7 linked regions of the Macaca mulatta genome follow. The protein of the gene in region 3 purifies or fractionates together with the protein of the main gene of each other region. This does not show direct contact. Links are inferred from orthologs where the notes say so. Each region holds a gene or a part of one and is shown on either strand. Other genes may lie near its edges. The genes, in order: PLK1, WAPL, SMC1A, PDS5B, PDS5A, USP13 and NIPBL.

Region 1 (3,463 bases), on a different chromosome or scaffold from region 3:
TGTGGCAGGGGAGTCCTATGCCCTTCCCAACGCCCCTGTTTTTGTCACCTTTCTAGGCTTGGAGAACCCCCTGCCTGAGCGTACCCGGGAAAAGGAAGAACCAGTGGTTCGAGAGACAGGTGAGGTGGTCGACTGCCACCTCAGTGACATGCTGCAGCAGCTGCACAGTGTCAATGCCTCCAAGCCCTCGGAGCGCGGGCTGGTCAGGCAAGGTGGGTACTGCGGGGCCCTGGGCGGGGCAGGATTGCTTGGGGCATCTGGAGAAGGCAGGAGGAGCCTTGGCCAACAAAGCACTGGTGACTTGTCCAGGCCCTGTCTCCATAGGACCATTGGTTTCCCCATTTCCTGATATCCGAGGCCCTGCTTGCTGTGGCTCCTGCCTTCTTTTCTGATCCGTCTCTTACTCTAGCACCTCGATGTGCCACCTTCACACGCTGTTTCTTTTGCTCAGTAAGTTCCTGTTGTTTCTTCAAGACCCTTGAAATAACAGACCCAGACGTACTGCAGCCTCAGGGCTTTCTCCCTGGCCCTGGCATGAAAGCACTTCTTCCAGACACCACATGGCTCACACTGTGGCCTCCTTCAAGTGTCTGCTCCGGTGTCACCTCCGTGAGCATCTCCCTGGCCCCTCTGCTGGTGCTTCGCATCCCCTTACCCACTGCATAGTTTTCCATAACACTTCTCACCCAACATAGTCCAACACGTCCTTCTTCTTTGATTGGATTTAAAGTAAGGTGTTTGTTGCATGCACTGAATATAACATTTTAATGTGTTTGCAGCCGGCGTCTGTCTTCACAGTTTCCTAATTACTCCAAACTGGAAAACTAGATGTCTCTGACTCTTACCATGATAGAAGTCACTGATATTTTGCCCATACTTAATTTGATTAGTCTTTGCCCCTGCAACCACAGTGTAAGCTCTGTGGAGGCTGGGGTTTTGTCTGTTGCTCACTGTACCTGCAACAGTGCCTGGCACGGTAGGCCTTCAGTAAATGGGTCAGTGGAATGAAGGAGTGAGTGGAACTTGGTGCGCTGTGTTGAAACTTTCTGTGTAGAGATGTCTATGCTGCTGCTTGTCTGAGCCTGTTGGCAGCAGAGGCCCTGCTTTGCTCTTCTCTGGGGCCCTAGGCCTCTCAACTGAGCCCAGGTGGTGTGCCCAGCAGGCTTCCTTGTTCCCTGGTGTGGGCCACATGTGTGGACCAGAGAAGAAGAGGCTGGTCCTGACCAATTGTCTGTCTGTTTCTGTCTTAGAGGAGGCTGAGGATCCTGCCTGCATCCCCATCTTCTGGGTCAGCAAGTGGGTGGACTATTCGGACAAGTACGGCCTTGGTAGGTTTCTTCCAGAACCAGGTGGGTGACTCAGGCACAGCCAGGTGACCTTTTCAGTTGTTACAGGCTCTGGCCTTTTTGAGCTCCCAGGTACTCTTAGTGCCCTCCTTTCTCCATCCCAGGCCTCCCAATTCCAGCTCCCAGTGCTCCCCGACTCCCCAGCCTTTTTCCCCCACTGCCCAGAGACAGGGTCCTACTCTGTCGCCCAGGCTGGAGTGCAGTGGCACAGTCATGACTCACTACAGCCTCAAACTTCCAGGCTTATGCCTGGCTGCAGGCTCAGCCTCCTAAGTAGCTGGGACTACAGGCATGCACCATCACGCTCAGCTAATTTTTAAAATAGTTTGTAGAGATGAGGTCTCATTACATTGCCCAGACTGGTCTCAAACTCCTAGGCTCAAACAATCCTCCCCCCTCAGCCTCCCAAAGTGCTGGAATCACAGGCATCTGCCACCGCACCCAGCCCCACTCCCCACTTTCTATTCCCCCTTTCTGAGACCTCTCTCCACTGATCCCTAGGGTATCAGCTCTGTGATAACAGCGTGGGGGTGCTCTTCAATGACTCAACACGCCTCATCCTCTACAACGATGGTGACAGCCTGCAGTACATAGAGCGTGACGGCACCGAGTCCTACCTCACCGTGAGTTCCCATCCCAACTCCTTGATGAAGAAGGTAAGTGCCGTCCGGCTATTGCGGGAGTGGGACCTGTGCTGGAGGGCGAGACTCTAATTCTGGAACCCCTCACTTACTTTTCATCCAGATCACCCTCCTTAAATATTTCCGCAATTACATGAGTGAGCATTTGCTGAAGGCAGGTGCCAACATCACGCCGCGTGAAGGTGATGAGCTCGCCCGGCTGCCCTACCTGCGGACCTGGTTCCGCACCCGCAGTGCCATCATCCTGCACCTCAGCAATGGCAGCGTGCAGATCAACTTCTTCCAGGTGAGCTGGATGTCACCAGGGGCAGGAGAGAGCTGGGGTAGGCTCCACGTGCTTGGCAGTGGCCCATGTGAGTTGAGTATGGAGTGAATGGCTCAGGTACCTATAACCTGTTGTGTCTTCCCTCTACTCCCTAACATACACTGGCCTCTGGGATCAGCAATCCCTGCCCCTCTTCTCTTGCAGGATCACACCAAGCTCATCTTGTGCCCACTGATGGCAGCCGTGACCTACATCGATGAGAAGCGGGACTTCCGCACGTACCGCCTGAGTCTCCTGGAGGAGTACGGCTGCTGCAAGGAGCTGGCCAGCCGGCTCCGCTATGCCCGCACTATGGTGGACAAGCTGCTGAGCTCACGCTCGGCCAGCAACCGCCTCAAGGCCTCCTAATAGCTGCCCTCCCCTCCGGACTGGTGCCCTCCTCACTCCCACCAGCATCTGGGGCCCATACTGGTTGGCTCCTGCGGTGCCATGTCTGCAGTGTGCCCCCCAGCCCCGGTGGCTGGGCAGAGCTGCATCATCCTTGCAGGTGGGGGTTGCTGTGTAAGTTATTTTTGTACATGTTCGGGTGTGGGTTCTACAGCCTCGTCCCCTCCCCCTCAACCCCACCATATGAATTGTACAGAATATTTCTATTGAGTTCGGAACTGTCCTTTCCTTGGCTTTATACACATTAAACAGATGTGAATCTTCTTTTTCTTGTATTTCCTGAGGGGTGCCAGGGCCTGGGATCCAGGGAACATCTCTGCTTCATCAGCCCCAGGCTGCCCAGCCTCTGCCAGTCTTGTGGGGGGTAGGGGGTGACAGTGTCTGTGGACCAGACTGGAGTGCAGTGGCATGATCCTGGCTCTCTGCAGCCTGGAACTCCTGGGCTCAAGCGATTCTCCCACCTTAGCCTCCCAAGCAGCTGGGACTACAGGCGTGCGCCACCATGCCTGGCTAATTTTTCAAATGTTTTGTAGAGGTGGGGTCTTGCCATGTTGGCCAGGCTGGTCTGGAATTCCTGAGCTCAAGTGATCCTCTCACCTCAGCCTCCCAAAATGCTGGTATTATAGGCGTGAGCCACTGCACCCAGCCTGGCAGTCTTTTCTGATTCTGATTCTGAGGCCAGCCACAGGCTCAGCTCTTCAGCTAGCCAGCATGGAGACCATTTGTGTGGCCTCCGGCCCACCTCACCTCCCTGCAGCCCCAGG
Region 2 (3,500 bases), on a different chromosome or scaffold from region 3:
ATTAGTGCCATGAAATTTCAAAGAACTAAATTTAATCAAGTATTGGATATTTCTGAGGCCCTGAAAAAAATTAACATTCTGTGCTTAAGATTTTATATAGGTAATTACCCTATATAGATTATTATAACATCACTGCAACCTCCATCTCCTGAGTTCAAGCAGTTCTCCTGCCCCAGCCTCTCAAGTAGCTGGCATTACAAGCGTGTGCCACCACTCGCAGCTAATTTTTTTATTTTTAGTAGAGACAGGGTTTCACCATGGTGGCCAGGCTGGTCTCAAACTCCTGGCCTCAAGTGATTTGCCTGCCTCGACCTCCCAGCCTCTATACAGATTATTTTTTAAGGTAAAAATGATGTTTATAAGAATAGCAAGTTGATTCATTTGGAGCTTAATACGTTTCAAGTTAGCTTTGTGGATATCGTATTATAAGTTGGTTAATCATTAAGTTTTTTTACTTTGTAAGTAGCATAAGAATATGTACTCATTGTAGAGGAAAATTGACATGGAAGCATGTAGAGTAATAAATCAGCCTTTCTTTATACCCCTTCCTCATATTTGTTTGTTTAAAAGTCTGTGGTGATGTCAAAAGTCATGAGGGAATAATCCCTAGGTTTTTATTTTTATAGCACTGTTTAACACTTGTTGAGTATTTGATGATTATATGTTTTCTTAAATTTTTTTTCACAGAATATGAAACTGGTGTCAAAATGACATCCAGATTTGGGAAAACATACAGTAGGAAAGGTGGAAATGGCAGTTCAAAATTTGATGAAGTCTTTTCCAACAAACGGACCACCCTTAGCACAAAATGGGGAGAGACTACATTTATGGCTAAATTAGGGCAGAAGAGGCCCAATTTCAAACCAGATATCCAAGAAATTCCGAAGAAACCTAAAGTGGAAGAAGAAAGTACTGGAGATCCTTTTGGATTTGATAGTGATGATGAGTCTCTACCAGTTTCTTCAAAGAATTTAGCCCAGGGTAAGGGTTCCTCTTACTCAGAATCTAGTGAAGCTGCTCAGCTGGAAGAGGTCACTTCAGTACTTGAAGCTAATAGCAAAATTAGTCATGTGGTGGTTGAAGACACTGTTATATCTGATAAATGCTTCCCTTTGGAGGACACTTTGCTTGGGAAAGAAAAGAGCACAAACCGAATTGTAGAAGATGATGCAAGCATAAGTAGCTGTAACAAATTAATAACTTCAGGTAAGTTTTGATTTTCTTTATTCTCAGCCAAGAGGGCTTCATGCAAGCAACTTTTAAAAATGATTTAACTTCTAAAATACATACTGTGTTTTCTTTCTGCACTTAGGATAAATGGGGACTATTGATAGTTTTGTAAAAGACATTTAAGAACTTTAAAGAAACCAGTTGGAGGTTGAAATAATAAAACAACTTGGATATTAATGTTTATAGACTGTTGCTCAGGGTACATTTTGGGAACAGTCATACGTTTCTAACCCCGATTCCAATAAGAAATATCTCTTTTTGTTGTGTTAGGATCACGGAGTATCTCATTTCTATTACTGTGGAGGATTTGGATGGTTATTGTTAATGAAAATGAGATGAGTACTTAAAATGAGGATTAGTTAACAATGGTAGACTCTCTGCCAAAACTAGCTCAGAAAGATTAAGGAGGTATTGAGTGGAGACATTAAAGAATTGAACTTGATTCCAAATTGAGATTAGTTTGGGGCCAGTAGCAGCTTGTATTGATAGATTTATTTATTTTGAGACGGAGTCTTGCTCTGTCGCCCACGCTGGAGAGCGGTGGTGCCATCTCGGCTCACTGCGCGCTCTGCCTGCCAGGTTCATGCCTTTCTCCTGCCTCAGCCTCCCAGGTAGCTGGGACTACAGGGGCCCACCACCACGCCCGGCTAATTTTTGTATTTTTAGTGGAGACAGAGTTTCACTGTGTTAGCCAGGTTGGTCCCGATCTCCTGACCTTGTGATCCGCCTGCCTCGACCTCCCAAAGTGCTGGGATTACAGGCGTGAGCCACCGTGCCCCGCCGTATTGATAGATTTTAAACCACAAAACTGGTTGTATTTTAAAAATGTTAATTTGTAAATAGAGCATCTAGTACTCTCTCCTAAAACGATACATTTTGTTCTGTCTCCTGTAAGGGATTTGAGATTTATAATAAGTGAAAAAGGTACAATTAACTAAAAGACTGAAGAGCTAATATTGAGGGTGGCAGGGAAGAGGTGGGGTAGAGAAGTGGGAGCACTCTATCAGCATTAGGATAAGGGTGGCACTATACTGTAATTGAAAAGAAACCTTAGTTCTTGACATCTTGGCAAAGTTTAGCAATAATGAAAGGTTATAAAAATCTTCCTTTGAAAGGAAGTAAACACAAACACAAAACTTTGCTGTACTGAATTCTTTTTTTTTTTTTTTTTTTGAGACGGAGTCTTGCTCTGTCGCCCAGGCTGGAGCGCAGTGACCAGATCTCGGCTCACTGCAAGCTCCGCCTCCCGGGTTCCCGCCATTCTCCTGCCTCAGCCTCCCGAGTAGCTGGGACTACAGGCGCCCGCCACCTCGCCCGGCTAGTTTTTTGTATTTTTCAGTAGAGACGGGGTTTCACCGTGTTAGCCAGGATGGTCTCGATCTCCTGACCTCGTGATCCACCCGTCTCGGCCTCCCAAAGTGCTGGGATTACAGGCTTGAGCCACCGTGCCCGGCCTGTACTGAATTCTTAAGGGGAATTTGTCCTTTGAAGGTTAAGGCACATGAAACAGTACAATGTACTGGGCTTTGCATAGTTTTACTAAAAATGTTGAGCATTTTTTCACTCTTTCTCTCACTCTTGGATGAGACGATGAGCCAGCTGTTACTGTCATTCCTTTGATCCTCCGGGTTAATTCTAATTTGGCTGTCCTTACTGCTTTGCCCACATTTCTCCTCAGGCGTTGTTGGCAAGTTTAGGTTAAATTTCCATTAAAAAGACGGCATAAAGGGCCTGTGCAGTGGCTCATGCCTGTAATCCCAGGACTTTGGGAGGCCAAGGCGGGTATATCACCTGAGCTCAGGAGTTCAAGAGCAGCCTGGCCAACGTGGTGAAACCCCATCTATATTAAAAATACAAAAAATTAGCTGGGCGTGGTGGTGGGTGCCTCTAATTCCACCTAATAGGGAGGTTGAGGTGGGAGAATCACTTGAACCCAGGAGACAGAGGTTGCAGTGAGCCAAGATTGTGCCCCTGCACTCCAGCCTGGGCAACAAAGCAAGATGCCATCTCAAAAAAATAAATAAATAAATAGCATAAACAGCATGAAAACTGTTTTCAGGTCAGCTTCTAAAAATACATAAATGTATGTTAAAATCATCAAACTTTGACACAGAGTCTCACTGTGTTGCCCAGACTGGAGTACAATGGCGCCATCTTGCCTCACTGTAGCCTCTGCCTCCTGGGTTAAAGTGATTCTCCCACCTCAGCCTCCGCAGTAACTGGGATTATAGGCACCTGCCATCATGTCTCGATAATTTTTATATATATAT
Region 3 (3,500 bases):
AGTGAACTTTATGTGGCATCCCTCCAGGAGGTACATCATGTCAGGATGTGCCCACTATTAGTGATACTGAGTTTGATCCCTCAGTTAAAGTGTCAGTTGCTAGGTTTTTCAACGCTAAATGTACACTTTTGCCTTTGTCATTAATTAGTAATCTTTAGAGTGATGCTTTGGCATTTTGTGAATATCTTGTTCCCCAAAAATTTTTTACCCAGTGGTTTTCACATTTTGATTAAATTTGTTTTAATAGTTATATATAACATCTTTATGTGTTTCTAAAACCAAAAGTATAAAACAAGGTACATGAAGAGAATTCTTGCTTCCATTCCTGTCCCTTTCACCTCTCTTTCTCGATAGATAACCCTTTAATTAGTTTTTGGATTATTCTTTTTGTTGTTGTTATATGTTTAAAATACAAATATATTTGTATTCCCTCTACCTTCACTTAAATAAGAGATAGCGTACACTATTGTGTAGCTTTCATATTTGACTTAAAAACCTATCCTGGGGCCGGGCACGGTGGCCCGTGCCGGTAATCCCAAGCACTTTGGGAGGCCGAGGCGGGCAGATCACGAGGTCAGGAGGTTGAGACCATCCTGGCTAACATGGTGAAACCCTGTCTCTACTAAAAATACAAAAAAAAATTAGCCAGGCGTGGTGGCGGGCACCTGTGGTCCCAGCTACTTGGGAGGAGTTAGCCAGGCATGGTGGTGTGTGTCCGTAGTCCCAGCTACTTGGGAGGATCACTTGAGCCTGGGAGGTAGAGCTTGCAATGACCAGAGATCATGCCATTGCACTCCAGCCTGGGTAATAGAGCGAGACTCTGTCTCCAAAAAAAAAAAAAGTGTATTCCTTTTCTCTGTCTTCACTTGTTCATCCTGTAGTCCTTAGCTTAAACATATTCCTGGAAGCCTACCTTAATTTTTATCACCCGATGAGGTAACCAACCAGAACGCCTCAATGCAGGTCACATATTTCTTATTCTATATACTAGTGGGATCCTTCCCTCTACTTATTATACTTATTTATACCTAAAATACCCTAGGCTCACTAAACATAATAGTACTAACATTCACCACTCAAGAACTATCAGTCTCCTGATCTCTGAGTTAGGTGTCTTTCTTGTGAGCTGATTCAACATTGCCTGCTTATCATTGTTTTCACATTCATCCTACAGTATTCTGGTTGTTTACTTATCTGCATTCCTCTGTTAGACCCCTGAGCTCTGTGAGCACAGAAACCAGGGCTCACAGGACAGGATGGCCCCAGTGCCTGGCACTTGGTAGGCAATCAGTAAATATTTATTGACTGAAAGTGGCAGAAAGGCACAAGCCCAGACATGCATTGCAATATCCATAAGAACTAAAACTAAACTCAAATGGAATTTGCTCAAATGTAGTGATCTAAGCAGAAAACGTGAATTGCCTTACTTATTGTGGAGCTGTAAGTGGAGTCCAGAGCAGCCAGCGTGGGAGCCTCCAGGTCACCCTGGGGTGGTACTGGCTCATGGCTTGGGCTGAGAGCCAGAGAGGGGCACCACCAACTGCTCCTCCTGAGAGACAAAGAGGTCGGCAGGGCCTGGGGGAAGGGCTAGAGATTAGAAAGCAGCCTCAGCCTATAATTTCCAGAGATGGTGGAAATGGTTACTATGGGTAGGATCTGATGGAAGGAACCAAGCTGGAGAAGAAGAACCTGCCCTCCATATAGGAGCAGGCACCCAGGCCACACTCGGTCATCTCTCGGTGGGGGCCTGGGCACAGGGGCCAGGCCCTTCTTGATGTTGCTGGGCCTGGGGCTTACAGGATGCCCAGGCTGAGGAAGAGATCAAGCAAGAGATGAACACACTGCAGCAGAAGCTGAATGAGCAGCAGAGTGTGCTTCAGCGTATTGCCGCCCCCAACATGAAGGCCATGGAAAAGCTGGAAAGTGTCCGAGACAAGTTCCAGGAGACCTCAGATGGTAAGATTTACCCTTCTACTTGGGCCTATGATAAGGACAAGAGGCTAAAGGTATGCCACGGGCCTGCTGTACATCACAGCAGTTCCTGTTCTGACATGCTTTCTTACTTAAAACTCCCAGGAGCCCTAAACAGTAGGGGTTATTACACCTGCTTTATAGAACAGAAAATTGCTGAGGTTCCCAGAGGGTAAATGACCTGTTCAAGGTCACGTAGCTGGTTGCTGGTAGAACACAGGGAGGAATCCATATTTGTGTGGCTGCAGGCCCCTGTTTCTTCCTCTGCATTGTATCCAGTGGCCAGTCCACTGGATACAGATCCTTCTGGGACCCTCCTCAGGCATTCCTCTCTCTCTTGGTGGGATGTCCCTGCTCTGGATTGTCATTTGCAGGTCCTTCTTGCCAGGGCACTGAGGGGTCACCTGTCTTTCTTTCTGGCAGAGTTTGAAGCAGCCCGAAAGCGAGCAAAGAAGGCCAAGCAGGCATTCGAACAGATCAAGAAGGAGCGCTTTGACCGCTTCAATGCTTGTTTTGAATCTGTGGCTACCAACATTGATGAGATCTATAAAGCCCTGTCCCGCAATAGCAGTGCCCAGGTAGGCTGGAGCCCCTTACCCAACCAGCTGCTACCATCCTCAGTTATCTTTCCCTCTAGGCTTCCTGTCCCTATCTCCATCCAGACTCAGATACAGATCCTGACCCATCTGCCTTTCCCTAGGCATTCCTGGGCCCTGAGAACCCTGAAGAGCCCTACTTGGATGGCATCAACTACAACTGTGTGGCTCCTGGGAAACGCTTCCGGCCTATGGACAACTTATCAGGCGGGGAGAAGACAGTGGCAGCTCTGGCCCTGCTCTTTGCCATCCACAGGTAAGGCTGATCCCCTAGGTCAGTTGACGAAGACTGAACTGAGGCCACCAGAGGCTCTGGGGCCCAAGGATACACAGAGATCTGCAAAGGTGAAGATAGTTTGGTGGAATCTGGATTGCATCCCTGTTTCACTATCTACTGCAGCGTATCTGGCTTTGGTTTTTCTGGACCTGTCTTCCCCATCCACCCTCATCCGCTCAGCATGCCCTCACCGGCCTCTGCATGTATTCAGTCCCACCTCCAGGCTTTTGCTCACAAGGTTGCTGGCTAATAATCCCTTTCCATGTAAATCTAGGTTGATCATCACCTTTCACCCCTTCACCCTTTCTCATTCTCCTCCCCTTCCTTTAGGAAGCCCTCCTTGATCACTGTGTCATACCCTGACCTTCCCCTCCTGAATGCCAGTACTTGAGTCTGACTCCTGCAGCTTATATTGCTTGATTGTACAGCATCAATTTCTTGAGTGCTGCTCTGTACCAGACCCTGCGGAGGGATTAGGTACACAGATGTATCAGACAGGGTCTCCGGCCTCGAGGAGCTCACAGTCTAGCAGAAGCCAGACGCATAAACAGACATGTGCTAAGTGTTGTAACCGGGTGAGCATGGGTGCGATGGATACACAGAGGAGGTACACTTAACCCAGTCTGTGGGGAGGGTGTGGGTAAGCCAGGGAAGAC
Region 4 (3,972 bases), on a different chromosome or scaffold from region 3:
CCACCACATGAATACGACTGTGACCTCAGATAAATCAATGAAATTAAAATCTGAACCGAATTTCTCATGTATAAGCGAGTTGGAGATCATCCTTAAGTTTTCTTGTTGCTCTCTAACACTAACGGAGGAAACATAAATAACTTTTCCAATATAAGTTATATACAGTCCATGTCATTCAAGAGTCCATAAGCCAAATCTTACTGAGCGCACTCCTGTTAGTTCTAAGGCAGTCTCTAAATTTCCCAAGAGGAATAAGCAGAAAGAATACAACTTCCCGAAATATTCCTTTCTCACAAAGTTTTGGGTATTTTCTACCATTGCATTCTTCTCCAGGGCAAGCCCTAACACAAAGTATTACTTTATCTTAGGCCTAACAAATTATTGATAAAGCCTACTCCTCAAAATGTTACTTTGTTAAACAAAGCTGCAGAACAATTTAAACAACTTTCATCAAACAGCCAACTCGGTAGAATCTTACTACAAGTAAGCTTAATACAAACATCTCACGACAAGAATCACTATCATCAGTACATGTGTCTCTAATACGGGGGTAAAAATGAGAGGGGAGAGACATAACACGAGAGAATAAAGGCGACAAGAGTAACAAAAGCTGCTGTAAAAGGTAATATAGGGAAAATCAGCCTTAACCAAAACAAGGAGAAAAGAAAAAAAGAAAAAGGGTGAACACAAACACTACCTTCCCATTTAAAATACACCTTTAAGTAAACGCCAGCTGAGAAGAGGACAATTTTTTAAACCATCAGAAAAAGGAGGAAAAAGTCACTATTTGGATAATTTTTATAAAGTCTAAAGTGCATCTTTTTACATATACTTGTAAACGTATATCAAGCACAAATCTTATTTCTAAGGAATAACGTTCTTAAAATGTTTTTAGTTTCTGACAATCAATCGATCTTAACATAAAAGGTCCCATGTAACTTTCACCTATTCACCACTACAAATTTTAATTCGGTTTTCTGCTATCACCATGAGATACAAGATTAACTGTTCCACGAACTGACCCACATACACCATTGAATACTCATTTCATTGTCCCTAAAGATGGGAACATCTCAGACATGTGTACTGCATAACGAGCTGTCTTTCAAGTCCATATTTGTGGCTTTTAACTAGTTTACCTGACCACTACATGAGTTAATATAAAAAACGTTCTGTCTGGGAACTCTGGATGGGTTAACTGAGAACAACGACTATATTGCCGTTCAAGTATTGGGTAATGACGATTTATTTACAGCTCGCCTCCTGCATGTAAACACAACGTGAGTTTTTGAAGTTTATTAGGAAGATGGTATAGGATTACCCAACTCTCTCCACACCGCAGACCAACCCTCTAAATTAAAGCTATATCCAAAGTTTCCGAAACTATTTCATCGACAGGGTAGGATCAGTCGGGGCACCACTGCCCATCCATCACCTCTTATTAAAAGTACAAGAAGCACTTTCTTCGACATAAAAAAGGGTTAACCCTTGCTGGGGTAGAGAGGCTGTTGAAGACGCGCGCGGAATGGGTGGGTAGCTGCTCTTTCAACCCTTCCCGGAGCTCGCCCCGTCCGCGGCAAGGAACGCAGCAGCCTGCAGTTCCGAAGGCGAGGGGCGGCGTTTCTGGTTTCAGTCATTCCTCCAAAATAACTGTCGAGCTACTTCTGAGTTAGCTTTCACGTCTCTACCAAAAACCAACAGCAGTAGCAGCAACAACAACAAACAAGGTTTTTCTCCGGACCGAAAACTTTTAAAGTAGCATTAAAATAACAGTGCAAAAACATTAACGAGTCACAATTGCACACCATTTTCCCCGCCGTTCCTTCCGAAAGGAAAGCTAGAACCCAGTTGTCGCCTGGGAGGAGTCCCTCCACGCCAGCGCTGGGCTCTTGCTCAACGGGGTCCTCAGGTTCCCCGAGCACCCACTCCGGGCGGCGCGGTGAGCGCGATTTCCCTCGGGCAAGCAGCGAGGAACAGCGCAAAAATGTCATGCTCAGCCCGTCCCCTGGCCCGAAGCGCAGGCCAGGCGGCGCGCGGGGACCCGGCGGCGAGGGCGAGGGCGAGGGCGAGGGCGCCCGCGGCCCCGACCCGCGGTCCCCGCCCGCCCCTCGCCCGGAAGGGGGAGAAGCCCGCCCGCGGGAGGATTCAACAGGAGCACCGCGCCGCCCGCCTGCCGCCCGGGAAACAGCCGCCGGCCGGCCGGGGCGCGGGGGGAGGGGCGCGGCGGCGGCGGTGGCGGCGGGAGGGCGCGGGCGGCCGGGCGGCCCCGGGACCCCAGCCCGCGCGCAAGGTCACCGCCCGCCGCCGCCGCCGCCCGGGCCGGGATCAGAGCGGCAAGTTTAATTTCCAGAGGCTGCGGCAGAGCCCGCGGCGTGGAGGCGCGAGTCGGCCGCGGGGCCCTCCCCACCCCCACCGCGCAGCCGGCCCGCGCCCCGCGACCCCCGCCCCGGGCCGCCGCCAGGCAGCCGCCCGCTGCAGCCCCCGATGCCGGGAGGCGAGTCGCGCCTGGCACCCGGGCGGGCGGCGCTTCAGCCCTGCCACACACACACACACACACACACACACACACACAGCAGCAGTGGCGGCCACCGAAAAATGGAGCGCCGCGGCCAGAGAAGAGAGACATTTTCTTTCCGTTAACTGAATTGTTTCCTACCTCCGGGTTTCCGACTCGCTACTCCTCTCACTCCGCGGCTCTCCGGGATCCGCCGCCGCCGCCGCATCCAATCGCCTTCTCTCCCCCCTCCCCTTCCGCAGCCAGCCCGGCCGTTCCTCCTCCTCTCCGCTTCAAAATGGCGCCAAGCGCTCTTCGGCGGCTGCTCCAATCGAACCGCCGCGGACAGCACCCGGGGGCAGGCAGAGCGCGGCATGGGTGCGCAGCGCCCCCTGCCGACCAGACGGCCCCGCGCGCGCCCGCCCTCCGAGCTCCGCCCCGCCCCGTCCGCGCGCGCGCACTCCCCTCCTCAGCCCCGCCCCGTCCGCGCGCACGCAGCCACACGGGCACGCCGCCGCGGAGGCCGCGAGACTGGCAGCTGTCAAGGCGTCCACTACCCTTGCAGCTTACTAGACCTCCACCGACAAAAATCATTCCGATTGTTACGTAGCCCTATCTTTTTAGATAAAGATTGGGAGATTTTTTTAAACACTGACATTCAGCACAGGTGTTGTGCTAGGTTAACATAATTGGTATTATTAACTACTTTGCTCCTTGTTAATTCTGACCTAGTCGTCTCGGAATGCCATACAAATAGTTTTCCTACACTTTATGTGTTGTGTCTTTATTAAATCTCCCCGCTTTCCTAATTTGATGAATTGTTCATAGGTGGTAAGCTGGCGGAGACACAGAGTAATTGAGCCTGTGACGAAGCATTCTATTCCTTTGGCAGAATTGTCCTTATTAGAGGAAGACATCATCTGGAGACCACAGGGACACATTCCAGGAGGTGGGTCTCCTCCCCTCTTCACCTTTCGGGGATGCCAGTCCCTCAAGTGGGTTTAGCCTGGTCACAACAGATCACCTACCTTTGGGGAAGCTTTTCCTCCCCTGCCAGAACTGAAGAAGGGACTTCCTCCTCTTTTTACTTTAATATCATCCCTCCTGTAAGGAAGTTTCCCCCGATATGATGTATTTGGTTACTAGAATTTTGTTCCAGGGAGAATTTGTTTCAACAATGAACAAGCAAAGGGTGAATGAATGGATTACAATAGGATACTTATCAACTGAAAGAAAAGATAGGTAATGCTGATCTGTAAACTAATGTTACTGTGCACCTAGAGATACTAGGTGCATTTTCCTCTGTCTGTCCTAATGGTAATTGCCTCATTCACCCTTACCATGTAGCTGTTTTGAAGGCTATCTCCTTTCTGCACCTAGAGATACTGAGACCTCTTCATTTCCATTTTTGTGGGATTTCCTGGACAATTCCGCTTCAGTCTCCTACAGTGCTTGCTAGACCAATATGTTGTGTTACT
Region 5 (3,975 bases), on a different chromosome or scaffold from region 3:
ATGGATTCTGCCTGGTACTGTAAATGCCCAAGAACAAACCACTGACTTTTGGGCAGAGTTCTAGCAAATCAGCAACTGGAGTGTCAGATTCGCAATGACTGCTCTCTTGTGTAAAACGTCAAAAACAAGTTAGTGAGCTGCAGTACCTTTACTATTTTTAAGTTGACGTTAAAGGATGTGGGAAAAAAATAGACCAATGGATATCCATCAAGAATAATTTGAATAAACAAACGAATATCATTTTAAACTATGGTAGTGGTCAGTTTCAAGAGCTGAATGCGATTTCATATTATTGTATCCTTTTTTCAACTTCCTCTTCGGAAATTTTGTGTATGCTCTTGATTTTTTAAAAAATAGGTAAGTGTATGCTCTTGCGTTCATTTATTTCACAAACATTAATGCTCAAACACTGCTGCGTGCACTTTTTTTACCTGATAGTTTTTTCCTTTGGATGACAGAAAACGTTAATGCTTGGTAGGTTTAAAACATTAAAAAAAATGAGTTCTTCCTTTTTGACAAGAATCACCTACCTAATTAATAAATGCTTATTTCTGGGTTCCACTCTCAGAGATCCTCGCTTTTTTATGTTTGGAGTTGGAAACCTATGTTTTCAGCCAGTACCCAAAGCGATTGTGAGGCCTGGTGGCCCAAAGATCATACCTTGAGAACGACTCGACCCAATGCTATTTTCATGTTTTGCAGCTTTCAAAATATTAACTTCAGAAATCTAAGGACGGTGGGCAACTCGGGTGCTGTCAGAAGACCCGAGAGTGAGCCGCTCACGCTGTGCCCCGTTGCACAACTTTCCTTGACTTTCCAGATCTCTCCCTGAGGAAGAAATCAGTTCATTTTCACCGAGCAATTAACTACTCCCAACCGGTTCCGTCTATGTCCCTCAGGATGACCCCCCAAAGTCACCAGCTCATCGCCGCTGCGAAAATAAAGCGCTGTTTGCCCCGCGTGCCCCCGCAGGGCCGCGGGAACCTGGGCTCGCTTCCCGCCACCCGGGCTCCTCCTCCTCTAGCCCTCTCCGGTCGGGTCCTCCCGGAGGCGCCCCGCGCGGCAGGTATTGGCGCCAACCGGGTGGCGGCGCTGTCCGCCCTGCGCGCGGCCGCCTCGGGCCCGAGGGAGGCGGATGCACGGCCGGCGGAGGAAGGGGAGGGAGCGAGGAGCGCGCGCTGCTCTCGCGTGCTCTCGCGCCGCTCGCGTGACCGGCCGGTGTGTGCGCGAGGGCCAGCTCCCGGGGCACGGACGGCCGGGCGCGCGCCGCTGCGAGGGGCGTCCGGGTCCGAGTCGGCGGTCCGGGCCGGCGCGAGGTGCGTGCGGGCGGGCTGCGGGGGTCCCGGGCGGACACACGCGCACACGTTCCCGGAGGAGCCTTCGAGGCTGCTCTTCCTCGGCCAGACGGAGAGCGGCACTGTCTCCCCGCCCAGCGCTCACTCGCCCCGAGTCTCCCCCCGCAGCGGCTGCTCCTCCTCGGCACCGCCAGCCCCAGCGCCGCTCCCGGGCGGGCGGGCGGCGGCGGCGGCGGGACCCGCGGAGCCGCTTTGTGTGCAGCCCGACGAGGGGCGGCGGCGCAACCACCTGACAGAGGCCCGGGCGCTCGATGCACCTTCCGCCCGCATGAGGAGGAGGTAAAGGCGGCGGTGGCTCGGCTCCCGCCCTAGGCTGCTGGAGGGAGGGGACGGAAGAGGAGACCGGAGGGGGGCCGCGGGTCCGAGGCCCGGTGGGGCCGCCCGGGGGTGCCGGAAAGGCCTTGGCGGTGCCGGAGGCGCCAAGCGGCCGGGGGCCAGAGAAGCAGCTGGGGTCCCTCAGCCGAAGTTGAAGGAACAAAATGTGAAGTGCGGAGCCGCGTCAGCCGCTTCCTGGCGTGGGGCTCGGGGTGGAGGGCGGCTTGTTTTCCCCTCCCGCGGGGGTGAGGGAGCGGAACAGGGGAGGGGCGGCAGTGCGGCGGGGACTACCCCGGGTCCGAGGCTCGGCTGGGCAAGGGCGTTTTGTTCCCGGGAGCCGCCGCTGCGCGTGGGTCCGCTGGGTCCCTAGTTTTGCGGCCTAAGCCGAGCCGTATAGGCCTCGCGTCTGCTTTCCCGGAGGGGACTGGCCGGGCGGGACTGGGCGCTTCCCCACGGCCGAGCGGGGGCCTTGGGGTCCTTGCCGGCCTCCTGAGGCCGCCAAACTTCGGACCTTGGTGCTCGGGGCTGGGTTTCATTGTGAAAGACGGAATGGGAAACTCCTGGCGCTGTTCGGCGCCTCCCGCGGCCGCGGCTGCTGGTGCCGAGGAGCCCCGTGAGCCTGGGGCTGGCTGGGCTGGGGCTGGTGGGGCCGGCGGGGTTCGAGCCCTGGGAAAGAGCGGGTGGCGAGGCCGCTGCCGGGTCCCCGGCGTCCGGGGAGAAAGGGCCTTTTCCAGATTAGAGAGATTTGAAATGAAAAAAGAGGTTACAAAGTCGCCCCTTTCCCGCTGAACTTTGGTTTTCTGACCGATAGAGGCCGGTAGAGGACTGTGAACCAAAAGTTGTCCCCCAGGATGGACTTCACCGCGCAGCCCAAGCCTGCCACTGCCCTCTGTGGCGTCGTGAGTGCCGACGGGAAGATCGCTTACCCTCCGGGGGTAAAAGAGATCACCGACAAGATCACCACTGACGAGATGATCAAACGCCTGAAGGTAAGCGTCTGGACGGATTGTTCGCTCTTCAGATGTCTTTGGTAGGAGGTGCTTTCTCCTGTCATATTGCTACCCTGCTCGTTCTGGCCTTTAGAGTTCCAAGTTTTTTAGATCTCTTACGCCCTGTGAAAGGTACTGTTGTATCTCAGATAAGTTATCTTTGAGTAAGCTTTGTAAGGACATAACCATTGTGGGAAATTTAAAAAGAGTGTGATTTTTCAAAAACTTCCTGGTTTTCAAGCATGAGAATTTGTGTGTTTTTAGAGTTTTTTCTGGAGGTATTTAATGAGAATACTGTTCAGAGTGGCTTGCACACTTACGTGTAGGCAGTAATTTGCCCAAGAAGTTTCCTGTTTTCAACTTGTGAGGAGGACTGATTAAAGCGCAAAGTCCTTTTTAAAAATTTGCATAATTTTCTAGTGTCCAGAAGCTTAAATATGTATATATTGTGGTTAAACTTTGACAGAAGGTACACTTTTCATAATTCAGGCTTAAAGTAAGATGATTTAAGTCTATACATAGTTCAAAGGAGTTTAAGAGTATTATGGCTCTTTTTATGAGGTGTCAGCTAATTTCGTTTAAGCATGGCAGTCCTAAGGTTAAGGTTTTAAATTTCAGCCTCACGTTTGTAAGGTTTTTTGGTTTCTGTTCCACTGACATAGATTGTGGCCAGAATCTTACCAAATAAGTGATACTCTTCTTGTAGGATCAGCTTGAAGCAGTGGTTCTGAGTCAGGGCAACTTTGACCTCCAGGAGATGTTTGGCAATGCTGGAGACATTTTGATTGTCACAATTGGTGCTAGATTGGAGTAGGGAAACACCAGAGGCAGTGAGTCCGGCTAGGAAACTATGAACAGTAGTCTAGGTGAAAGACGTTGAAATCTTCAGATAGGGCTATGGCATTGATAATAGTGACTAGGAAATGATTTAACAACTTTTCAGAGTTAGAATCAATCAGAATTGGTGGGAGGTGAGGGAAGCAACATTGTTGACAATGTTTCCATCTTGGGCGACTTGGCGAAATGTATTTTAGGGAATGAGCTTGGCCTCTTGCTCTTGGAGCCCAGTAAATGTACCTAATGTTGCATTTTAATTAGTACAGTGTTTAAAATGTTCATGTGGTTTAGTTTTCAAACTCTAATTTGGTTGTGCAATTTGTTGCCTTTTTGGAAGGAATAAGACAACAGTTTCTTTCATTAAAACAAATCTATGTGCAGTGGTGTGATCTTGGCACACTGCAACCTCCACTTCCCAGGTTCAAGCTGTTCTGCCTCGGTCTCCCAAGTAGCTGGGACTACCGTGCGCCACCTGGCTA
Region 6 (4,268 bases), on a different chromosome or scaffold from region 3:
TAATTTGCATTTAATCTAAGATTAAATTTTTAAGTTTCGTAAAACCAAGTCTATCTCTGTAATTGGAGAAAACATCATCCATGAACCTGAAAGGTAATAAGCTGATGAGACTAAATTCAAAGCAAAAGCTCGCTGAGAGTATCTGCCCCAATGATGAAGATGACAATAGTGTCTGATTTTTTGCTCAGTGCCACCTCCTCCGTTTCCAACAGATAGCATTTGGGAGTGATGAGTTATAAGAAAGTGTGGTGCGCTCCAAGCTTGCTTGAGGGTATGGAAATCTCGAGACAGGTCTGGAGAACCAGGGAGAGTTAACAGATAAATAATGTAAGAAAAAAAAAAAAAAAAAAAAAAGAACTTAAGGACTGTCTGATCTGGGAGAAGTTTACAAAAATTAGCGTTTTGGTTCACTATTTCTCGCTCTTTCGGCGTTTCATTAACTGGATACCCTGCTATGAATATATATATTGGGTGTAGTTAAGAGAACCTCTATGTCACTAAAACCGTCTTATGAGTTTTTTGGAGAAAATGAGAGGACGCTGGGAGACATGCTCTGCTTGCAAATGATCAACCCCCCAGCCCAATCCCATTCATCATTGATTTTGAGGAACTGATGAGTAAGACAGGAATATGTATGTTTGCCTACAAAATCCTCAAATCAGGCCACTGAATGTTCGACATGGGAACTTTGAATCACATAGAAGATACTCCAAAGGCCGAGAAAAATAGAAAGCCTCCCGACGCCCTGAAAAAATCTTGACCATCTCTGACTTCCTCCAATAAGAAAACCTATATTATTATTATACACACGCACACACACCCTCTATCCTCACTCGATCTTGTTCTATTCTATTTTTGAGCTTTGGATGTTAAAGTAAGGAACGAAGCTTAGTGGGGAAACACCGAAGTGCATGGCGCAAATTTAGATTTAAGCCTCACGTTAGATTCCAGATTTGCACATCGAGTCCTGCCCCTACCCAATCCGGGGACGTCACCGCTCTAGTCTTTGGCTGTTTTAAAAGCAAGCGGTTTTTAAAACCCCCAATCCTCCTCTTTGTGTTTGCCTCCTCGGAGTTGCCCCTCTGCAAGCCAAGAGTTCGGGATAGAAAACACCTACGTGGTGTTTTCCCGGGGCTCTCCCGCGCCGCAGTCGGCCGCCAGCCCGCTCGGGCTCCCGCGCCGACGCCTCAGGGGCTCGCCCTCCGACCCCGCCGCCGAGCCCGGCCCGCTCGCAGGGCCCCTCTCCAGCTCCCCCTCCCCGGCGCGCTGCGGCTGGCGCTCCCCAGCCCCGCCTGACGCTGCAGCTGGGCCGGAGACTCGCCATTGGATTAAAAATAGCAGCGTCGCCCGCCCGCCCCGAGCCCCCGGTGCCCGCTCCCGCCCTGCGGCCCGCTCTCCCCGCCCGCCCCGGCTCGCCCGGCTGCGGTCGCCCGCGCAGCCCGCGCGTCCGCCCGCTCGCTGGCGCCACCGCCGCCGGCGGACAGCGCGCTCCGGCTCCGGCTCGGCTCGCTCGGCTCCTGTGCGTGCCGAGGCCATGCAGCGCCGGGGCGCCCTGTTCGGCATGCCGGGCGGCAGCGGAGGCCGGAAGATGGCTGCAGGAGACATCGGCGAGCTGCTGGTGCCCCACATGCCCACGATCCGCGTGCCCAGGTCCGGCGACAGGGTCTACAAGAACGAGTGCGCCTTCTCCTACGACTCCCCCGTAAGTGAGGCGCCTCGGGGGAGGGTCGCGGGGCCGGCGGCCTGCGGCACGTGAAGCCGGGGGAGAAGATGCGCAGTGGCGGCCGGGGACCTCTTCTCTTTCTCTGGGCGGCAGAATTGGCTCAGGAGCACTGCAGTTCGGCAGACAGTGAGCGCCCCAGGGCTGCTGCAGCCGAGGACTGGTGGCTTTGCTCCTCCAGCCTCCCCAGGCTGGAAGGGCCCAATTCCCAGCAGCTTGCACACAGCCCCGCCGCCGTTTAAAGATAGATGAGGTCCAAGAGTTCCCTGTTCCGAACTGCACGTTGCAGATCGTTTGCGTCCTCCCCGGGGCAGAGCGCAGGGCGGGTAGGTGGACGGGATGATTCCCCCACACCCCCGGACACACAGCCCTTCCTTTTGTGGGACCACTTGCTTTGCTCAGGGATCCCCACTCCTGGACAATTCTGATTTGCTCTCTGAGCTTTTCTTCCACCACTTCCCATTTCACCCTACTCCTTTTCTTGCCTTTAGAATGTCAGGGCCGGGCGCGGTGGCTCACGTCTGTAATACCAGCACTTTAAGAGGCGGAGGCGGGCGGATCGCCTGAGGTCAGGAGTTCGAGACCAGCCTGGCTAATATGGCGAAACCCCGTCTTTACTTAAAACCCCCCCAAAATTAGCCGGGTGTGGTGGCGGGCGCCTGTAGTCCCAGCTACTCGGGAGGCTGAGGCTTGAGAATCGCTTGAACCGGGAAGGAGGAGGCCGTAGTGAGCCGAGATCGCGCCACTGTCCTCCAGCCTGGGCGACAAAGCGAGACTCCGTCTCAAAAAAAAAAAAAAAAAAAAAAGAAAAAGGAAAAGAAAAAAAAGGCAGACGAAACCTTCCGGTGCCTCCAATCGGGCAGCAGAAATAGGGGATCTACTGGATTGTGATGGTTTTCTTAAGCCTTTCCCCCTTACCCTTCTAAATGAGTCACTTGGACTGACATGCTCAAGTATAAATTATTAAAAGTTCAATCCCGAGTCGTGACCTCGGAGAATGGAGGAGGAAGCTGAGAGGGATCGCCGCCTTCTACCCGGGGCGGTTGGTGGTGGTTTTCACCTGGTTCTATGTGAAAGTGTGAGAAGCAGCAGGAGGGTGAATGTCCCTTTCAAAAGTCAAAATAGGCTTCAAAGTGACTCAGCTGTCTGGCGTTTATCATGTCTTTTTGAGGACCAAGTTATTTTTATCCACCCACTTTAGATCTCATATGTCACCCGGCAGATCTCAATGCATTGGAAGGCGCATGGATTGGATGGACCGAGGCAGGTCTTGCAATTGTCCAATACCTTTGATTCATAGTATGTGGAGTATTGTCAGAGGGGAAAAGAAAAGTCCAAATGAGCGGCAACATTTCCAAAGTTTCCTTTATTATCTGTGGGTTGATTTTGGCTGGCTGCAAAGGATTTTTGCTCGATACACATTGGAGTATCAGGGTTAGTATCCTCTCTGTGACATTAGTTTTTTTATTTATGGTAATTACATATCATTTGAGGGATAAAACCTAACTTATTTTTTGACTGCTTACTTTTTTTTATTTCGAAAAGATCCAGAGTGGAATGTGAGAATCGGCAGTCCTTTCTTAGTATGTTATCCATAAATTATTTGAAAATGCCATTTTCAGATTGTATGGCCAGTGTTGGGCAGTTCCTAAAGTTGGAGAGGGATGATAGTGGTAACTAACCTAAGCAATTGACAGACTGTTACCTCCACGAGGAAGAAAGTGGCTTAAGTCTTTTAGGATAGCATGACATGGAAAGTGGGGTCAAATGACTTTCCCCATGTTTGATTTGGGCTCTTCTTCAAATTCTGTTTACAAACTTTGCTCTTGGAAGTTTTTGCTGCATAATGTAGTGGATAGCAGGTGTGGAAAAAAAGGCTGATTTTTAAAATTCACTTCCACAAATAGTTATTGGGAGCTTACTGTGTGTTTCTAGAATGTTACTATTCTAGAAACATCTCGTCCAGTGTAGACTGATGATTTCAGTCACATCATAGCAGTTCCTTGTGGGAGACTGGGATTAATTTACAAGGCTGATGAATCAGTATATTTCATTATCTATGTTTCGGGCAGGAAGGGAAGGAAGGTTTGATAATATTTATCTTAAAGCACAGTGCTTGATAATGAGAAGTTTTTTTTTTTTTTTTTTTTTTTTTGAGATGGATTTTTGCTCTTGTTGCCCAGGCTGAAGTGCAATGGCATGATCTCAGCTCACTGCAACCTCCGCCTCCTGGAGTCAAGCGATTCTCCTGCCTCAGCCTCCCAAGTAGTTGGGATTACAGGCGTGTGCCACCACACCAGGCTAGTTTTGTATTTTTAGTAAAGACAGGGTTTCGCCATGTTGGTTAGGCTGGTCTCGAACTTCTTACCTCAAGTGATCCACTCACTTTGGCCTCCCAAAGCACTGGTATTACAGGCATGAGCCACTGCAACCAGCCAGTATTTTGTTATGGTATGTAACACTACACTGTGAGTCCAATAAGGGTTTCTTCAGCACCTACTATGTGCCATCTCATACATGCATGACTGTAAGGACCGTAGAGAGCAAA
Region 7 (3,500 bases), on a different chromosome or scaffold from region 3:
CTAAAACATTGGGAGGGGGGAAAAAAGACCAAGTGTTACACAAAAGAATTTTAGTGAAATTATTGTTTTTATTGCTTTTAATCCCTTGACGCCGGGAGTTGGGATTTCCCGGCACACTTCCATTGCCGGCAATGAGACGCACCGTGACCGCCAGCGCCAAGGGGTTAACATATACTTGTAAAACCATATAACTCTTAATTTGTACCCGTGTCTTTACTCTTATTGATATATAAAATTATATATACATATGAACCATAAAGCTACATAAAACTTAGCAACAATAAAAATAACACACATTAATACAATTCAAAGAAAAATTAACCCTTTATGCTGGATAAATCTCATTTCTGTTTTTTTTTATTGTCTTTTATGTTAAACTTTCTACAAAAGGATGTATAAATGGGTAAGTAGAGAATCTCTATCTACAAAATGTTTCCTCTCTTAAGTATTACATTACTTGGTTGTACATTTAATAGACTGACATATATAAGCACATAAAAATCATTTTACGTAATACGCTGCGAAATACGTTGACTCCTCCTCCGCCTCACCCCTGAAGTGCCTCCTCCTCTATCCTCCCCATCACTTTCATCATCTTCTGTCTCTGCTGCTGTATTATTTTTAGGGCTGCCTCCTCCAAGCAGTGAGGTAATTGCTTTGTTCCGAGCATTTGTGCTAGCTGACACCTCCCCTTCTTCTTCTTCTTCATCAGGGTCCAGATGTTCCATGAGAAGTTTGAACTATAAAAAATAGATATTATTTCAGAATTTTAAGTAAATATTTCAAGCAAGATTGTTAAATTCCTAAATGTTTTCTATGGCAGTAGTTTGCTGTGTGTGAAACAGATGTTAGCCATCATCTAAGTTAGGGGCTGGTAAACATTTTCTGTAAACAGCCAGGTGGTCAATATTTTTCATTTTGAAGGCCATATAGTCCGTCACAACTACACAACTCTGCCACTGTAGTATGAAAGCAGTTACAGACAAATAAATGAGTGGGCATGAATGTTTTCAGTAAAACTTTATTTGCAAAAATAGGCAATGGGTTAGATACAAAAACAGCCAGAGTTTTCAGACCCTTGGTCCAAGACATCAAGCAACCAGGTGACAATTACTGACAGACATTTTCTAGTTATCTCCCCTCTTTGCTCTCTGCTAAGAGGATATAAGAGAAAGCAGAGAATGTTGAAAAATTTTAAATGAGAACTAAAATATTTTTAAATTTTAATGTATGTAAGGTTTGCAAAGTCAATGAATAATAGGAAAGCCACCGTGTAGATTATATTCTTAGCTCAAAAATTCTTATTTTCTATGTTCAGCTACTTGCTTTAAAGTAGATTTTTAAAATTTTTTTAAGAAAAATAGAAATGGAGTTTTGCCATGTTGGCCAAACTGGTGTCAAACCTCTGGCCTCGAGTGATCTGCCCACCTCAGCCTCCCAAAGTACTTGGGAGCCACTGCACCTGAACTAAGTAGATTAAAATATAAAACTTTATTTTTATTTTTTAGGACAGTCTTCTAATTTAAAAAACATTTTAAACAACTTTTATATTGTGGTAAAATAGAAATAACATAAAATTTGCCAGCTTAACGTTTTTTTTTTCTTTTTAAATTCAGACAGGGTCTCACTTTGTCACTCAGGCTGAAGTGCAGCGGCGTGATCATGGCTCACTATAGCCTACACCTCCCAGGCTGAGGTGGTCCTCCCACCTCAGCCTCCCCAGTAGTTGGCACTACAGGTGCGCACCACCATGTCTGGCTAATGTTTGTATTTTTTGTAGAGAGAGGGTCTCGCTCTGTTGCTCAGGCTGGCTTGGACTTCTTGGACTCAAGCAAACCTCCGACAATAGGCCTCCCAAAGTGCTAAGATTACAGGTTTAAGCCAGCATGCCTAGCCTACCAGTTTAACCATTTTAAATGTATAATTCATTGGCATGTTGTACAACTATCACCACTATCCATTTCCAGAGCTGTTTCTTTCTTTGTTTTTTTAAATCACTGGACGTCACAGCTCTGTCCTCATTAAACAATAATTCCCTGTTCTTTCCTTCCCTGGTCCTTGGTAACCTCTAGTCTATTCTCTGTCTCTATTTTAAAAGCACATTTTATATACATACATTTGCATACTTGTTAAGTGAGAATGTATGCAAATATATATTGGCATTACTCATATAAGAACATATGAAAAAGTAATAATATTGGTTGTCAGAAAAGAAAGGAACAGAATGGCCAAACAGGGTAAGAGGATGACTGTTTGCAGTTTTACCTTTTATGACATATAAGTCATGTATTTTTCTGATTTAAAAACATAGCCCTCTGTATCCCCGGATTCCGCACCTGCAGATTCAACCCACAGCGGATCAAAAACTATTTGGAAAATGCCACAACAAAAATAACAGCACTGGCCGGGTGTGGTGGCTCATGCCTCTAATCCCACTACTTTGGGAGGCTGGCGGATCACCTGAGGTCAGGAGTTTGAGACCAGCCTGGCCAACATGGCGAAACCCTATCTCTACTAAAAATACAAAAATTAGCCAGGCGTGGTGGCGCATGTCTGTAATCCCAGCTACTTGGGAGGCTGAGGCAGGAGACTCGCTTGAACCCGGGAGGCGGAGGTTATGGTGAGCCGAGATCACGCCATTGCACTCCAGCCTGGGCAACAAGAGTGAAACTCCATCTCAAAACAAAACAAAACAAAACAAAACCCAGCATTACAATAAAAAATAATACAACTTAAAAAAAATGTGGTATAACAACTATGTACATAGCATTTACATTGCTTTAGGTATTATAAGTAATCTAGAAATGATTTAAAGTATATGGGAGGATGTACGTATATGCAAATACTATATTTTTTAAATAATTTTTTTGAGACAGGGTTTCACTCCCGTCACCCAGGATTGGGTGTAATGGTGCAATCTCAGGTCACTGTAACCACTGCCTCTCAGGCTCAAGCACTTCTCCTGCCTCAGCCTCCTGAGTAGCTGGGACTACAGGTGCACACCACTGCCCCCAGCTAATTTTTTGTATTTTTTGTAGATATGGGGATATGCCATGTTGCCCAGGCTGGTCTCAAACTCTGACCTGCCATGGCCTCCCAAAGTGTTGGAATGACAGGTGTGAGCCACCTCACGCAGCCTACTATGCCACTTTTTATCAGGCCCTTGAATATCGGAGGATTTGGGTATCCATGGGGGGACTGGAACCAATTTCCTGTGGAAACCAGGGGACAACTACAAAACACACACACGGGTTTTCCTATTATCTTTCATTTTCACTAAAATAAAACTATTCGTGGGCTGTTGTTTCCTAAGAAAAAATAATTAGGATGCCATAGGTGCAATGCGAAAGACAAGCTTAAAGTAACTCATTAAAACCACATAGAGAAAAATTATCTTGACAGTTCATGAAGCTTACATTCAATGTAAAGGAGATAGTTATCTCCCCACCAGCCCCCCACATTTACTTGTCAAAAAAGCCCTTATGAGAAGTAAAAACTTT

The links.
Region 1: the proteins of SMC1A (region 3) and PLK1 purify together in Homo sapiens (affinity purification with mass spectrometry; 3 studies listed by BioGRID and IntAct, with this or other methods). This does not show direct contact. The link is inferred for Macaca mulatta from reciprocal best matches to the Homo sapiens genes SMC1A and PLK1.
Region 2: the proteins of SMC1A (region 3) and WAPL purify together in Homo sapiens (affinity purification with mass spectrometry; 7 studies listed by BioGRID and IntAct, with this or other methods). This does not show direct contact. The link is inferred for Macaca mulatta from reciprocal best matches to the Homo sapiens genes SMC1A and WAPL.
Region 4: the proteins of SMC1A (region 3) and PDS5B purify together in Homo sapiens (affinity purification with western blotting; 8 studies listed by BioGRID and IntAct, with this or other methods). This does not show direct contact. The link is inferred for Macaca mulatta from reciprocal best matches to the Homo sapiens genes SMC1A and PDS5B.
Region 5: the proteins of SMC1A (region 3) and PDS5A purify together in Homo sapiens (co-immunoprecipitation; 8 studies listed by BioGRID and IntAct, with this or other methods). This does not show direct contact. The link is inferred for Macaca mulatta from reciprocal best matches to the Homo sapiens genes SMC1A and PDS5A.
Region 6: the proteins of SMC1A (region 3) and USP13 purify together in Homo sapiens (affinity purification with mass spectrometry; 5 studies listed by BioGRID and IntAct, with this or other methods). This does not show direct contact. The link is inferred for Macaca mulatta from reciprocal best matches to the Homo sapiens genes SMC1A and USP13.
Region 7: the proteins of SMC1A (region 3) and NIPBL purify together in Homo sapiens (affinity purification with mass spectrometry; 3 studies listed by BioGRID and IntAct, with this or other methods). This does not show direct contact. The link is inferred for Macaca mulatta from reciprocal best matches to the Homo sapiens genes SMC1A and NIPBL.

What each region holds. Positions count from the first base shown.
Region 1 is NC_133425.1:23,232,285-23,235,747, forward strand, and holds the end of PLK1 (serine/threonine-protein kinase PLK1), read left to right. Parts: exon of another isoform or gene 1-56; coding exon 57-212; exon of another isoform or gene 213-1,250; coding exon 1,251-1,328; exon of another isoform or gene 1,329-1,847; coding exon 1,848-2,002; exon of another isoform or gene 2,003-2,090; coding exon 2,091-2,273; exon of another isoform or gene 2,274-2,456; coding exon 2,457-2,660; 3' UTR 2,661-2,963; downstream 2,964-3,463. Other genes in the region: ERN2 (serine/threonine-protein kinase/endoribonuclease IRE2), read right to left, coding at 3,443-3,463. UniProt on the Homo sapiens protein: Serine/threonine-protein kinase that performs several important functions throughout M phase of the cell cycle, including the regulation of centrosome maturation and spindle assembly, the removal of cohesins from chromosome arms, the inactivation of anaphase-promoting complex/cyclosome (APC/C) inhibitors, and the regulation of mitotic exit and cytokinesis.
Region 2 is NC_133414.1:63,337,176-63,340,675, forward strand, and holds part of WAPL (wings apart-like protein homolog), read left to right. Parts: intron 1-687; coding exon 688-1,206; intron 1,207-3,500. UniProt on the Homo sapiens protein: Regulator of sister chromatid cohesion in mitosis which negatively regulates cohesin association with chromatin. Involved in both sister chromatid cohesion during interphase and sister-chromatid resolution during early stages of mitosis.
Region 3 is NC_133426.1:53,229,506-53,233,005, reverse strand, and holds part of SMC1A (structural maintenance of chromosomes protein 1A), read left to right. Parts: intron 1-1,799; coding exon 1,800-1,956; exon of another isoform or gene 1,957-2,006; intron 2,007-2,359; exon of another isoform or gene 2,360-2,394; coding exon 2,395-2,549; intron 2,550-2,671; coding exon 2,672-2,823; intron 2,824-3,500. UniProt on the Homo sapiens protein: Involved in chromosome cohesion during cell cycle and in DNA repair. Central component of cohesin complex. The cohesin complex is required for the cohesion of sister chromatids after DNA replication.
Region 4 is NC_133422.1:12,352,437-12,356,408, reverse strand, and holds the start of PDS5B (sister chromatid cohesion protein PDS5 homolog B), read right to left. Parts: upstream 2,801-3,972; 5' UTR 2,657-2,800; intron 2,180-2,656; exon of another isoform or gene 1,806-2,179; intron 1-1,805. UniProt on the Homo sapiens protein: Regulator of sister chromatid cohesion in mitosis which may stabilize cohesin complex association with chromatin. May couple sister chromatid cohesion during mitosis to DNA replication.
Region 5 is NC_133410.1:39,196,302-39,200,276, reverse strand, and holds the start of PDS5A (sister chromatid cohesion protein PDS5 homolog A), read left to right. Parts: upstream 1-1,175; 5' UTR 1,176-1,634; intron 1,635-1,664; exon of another isoform or gene 1,665-1,841; intron 1,842-2,481; 5' UTR 2,482-2,521; coding exon 2,522-2,659; intron 2,660-3,975. UniProt on the Homo sapiens protein: Probable regulator of sister chromatid cohesion in mitosis which may stabilize cohesin complex association with chromatin. May couple sister chromatid cohesion during mitosis to DNA replication.
Region 6 is NC_133407.1:91,683,384-91,687,651, forward strand, and holds the start of USP13 (ubiquitin carboxyl-terminal hydrolase 13), read left to right. Parts: upstream 1-1,468; 5' UTR 1,469-1,534; coding exon 1,535-1,702; intron 1,703-4,268. UniProt on the Homo sapiens protein: Deubiquitinase that mediates deubiquitination of target proteins such as BECN1, MITF, SKP2 and USP10 and is involved in various processes such as autophagy, endoplasmic reticulum-associated degradation (ERAD), cell cycle progression or DNA damage response.
Region 7 is NC_133411.1:38,161,966-38,165,465, reverse strand, and holds part of NIPBL (nipped-B-like protein), read right to left. Parts: intron 741-3,500; coding exon 552-740; coding exon of another isoform or gene 511-551; intron 1-510. UniProt on the Homo sapiens protein: Plays an important role in the loading of the cohesin complex on to DNA. Forms a heterodimeric complex (also known as cohesin loading complex) with MAU2/SCC4 which mediates the loading of the cohesin complex onto chromatin.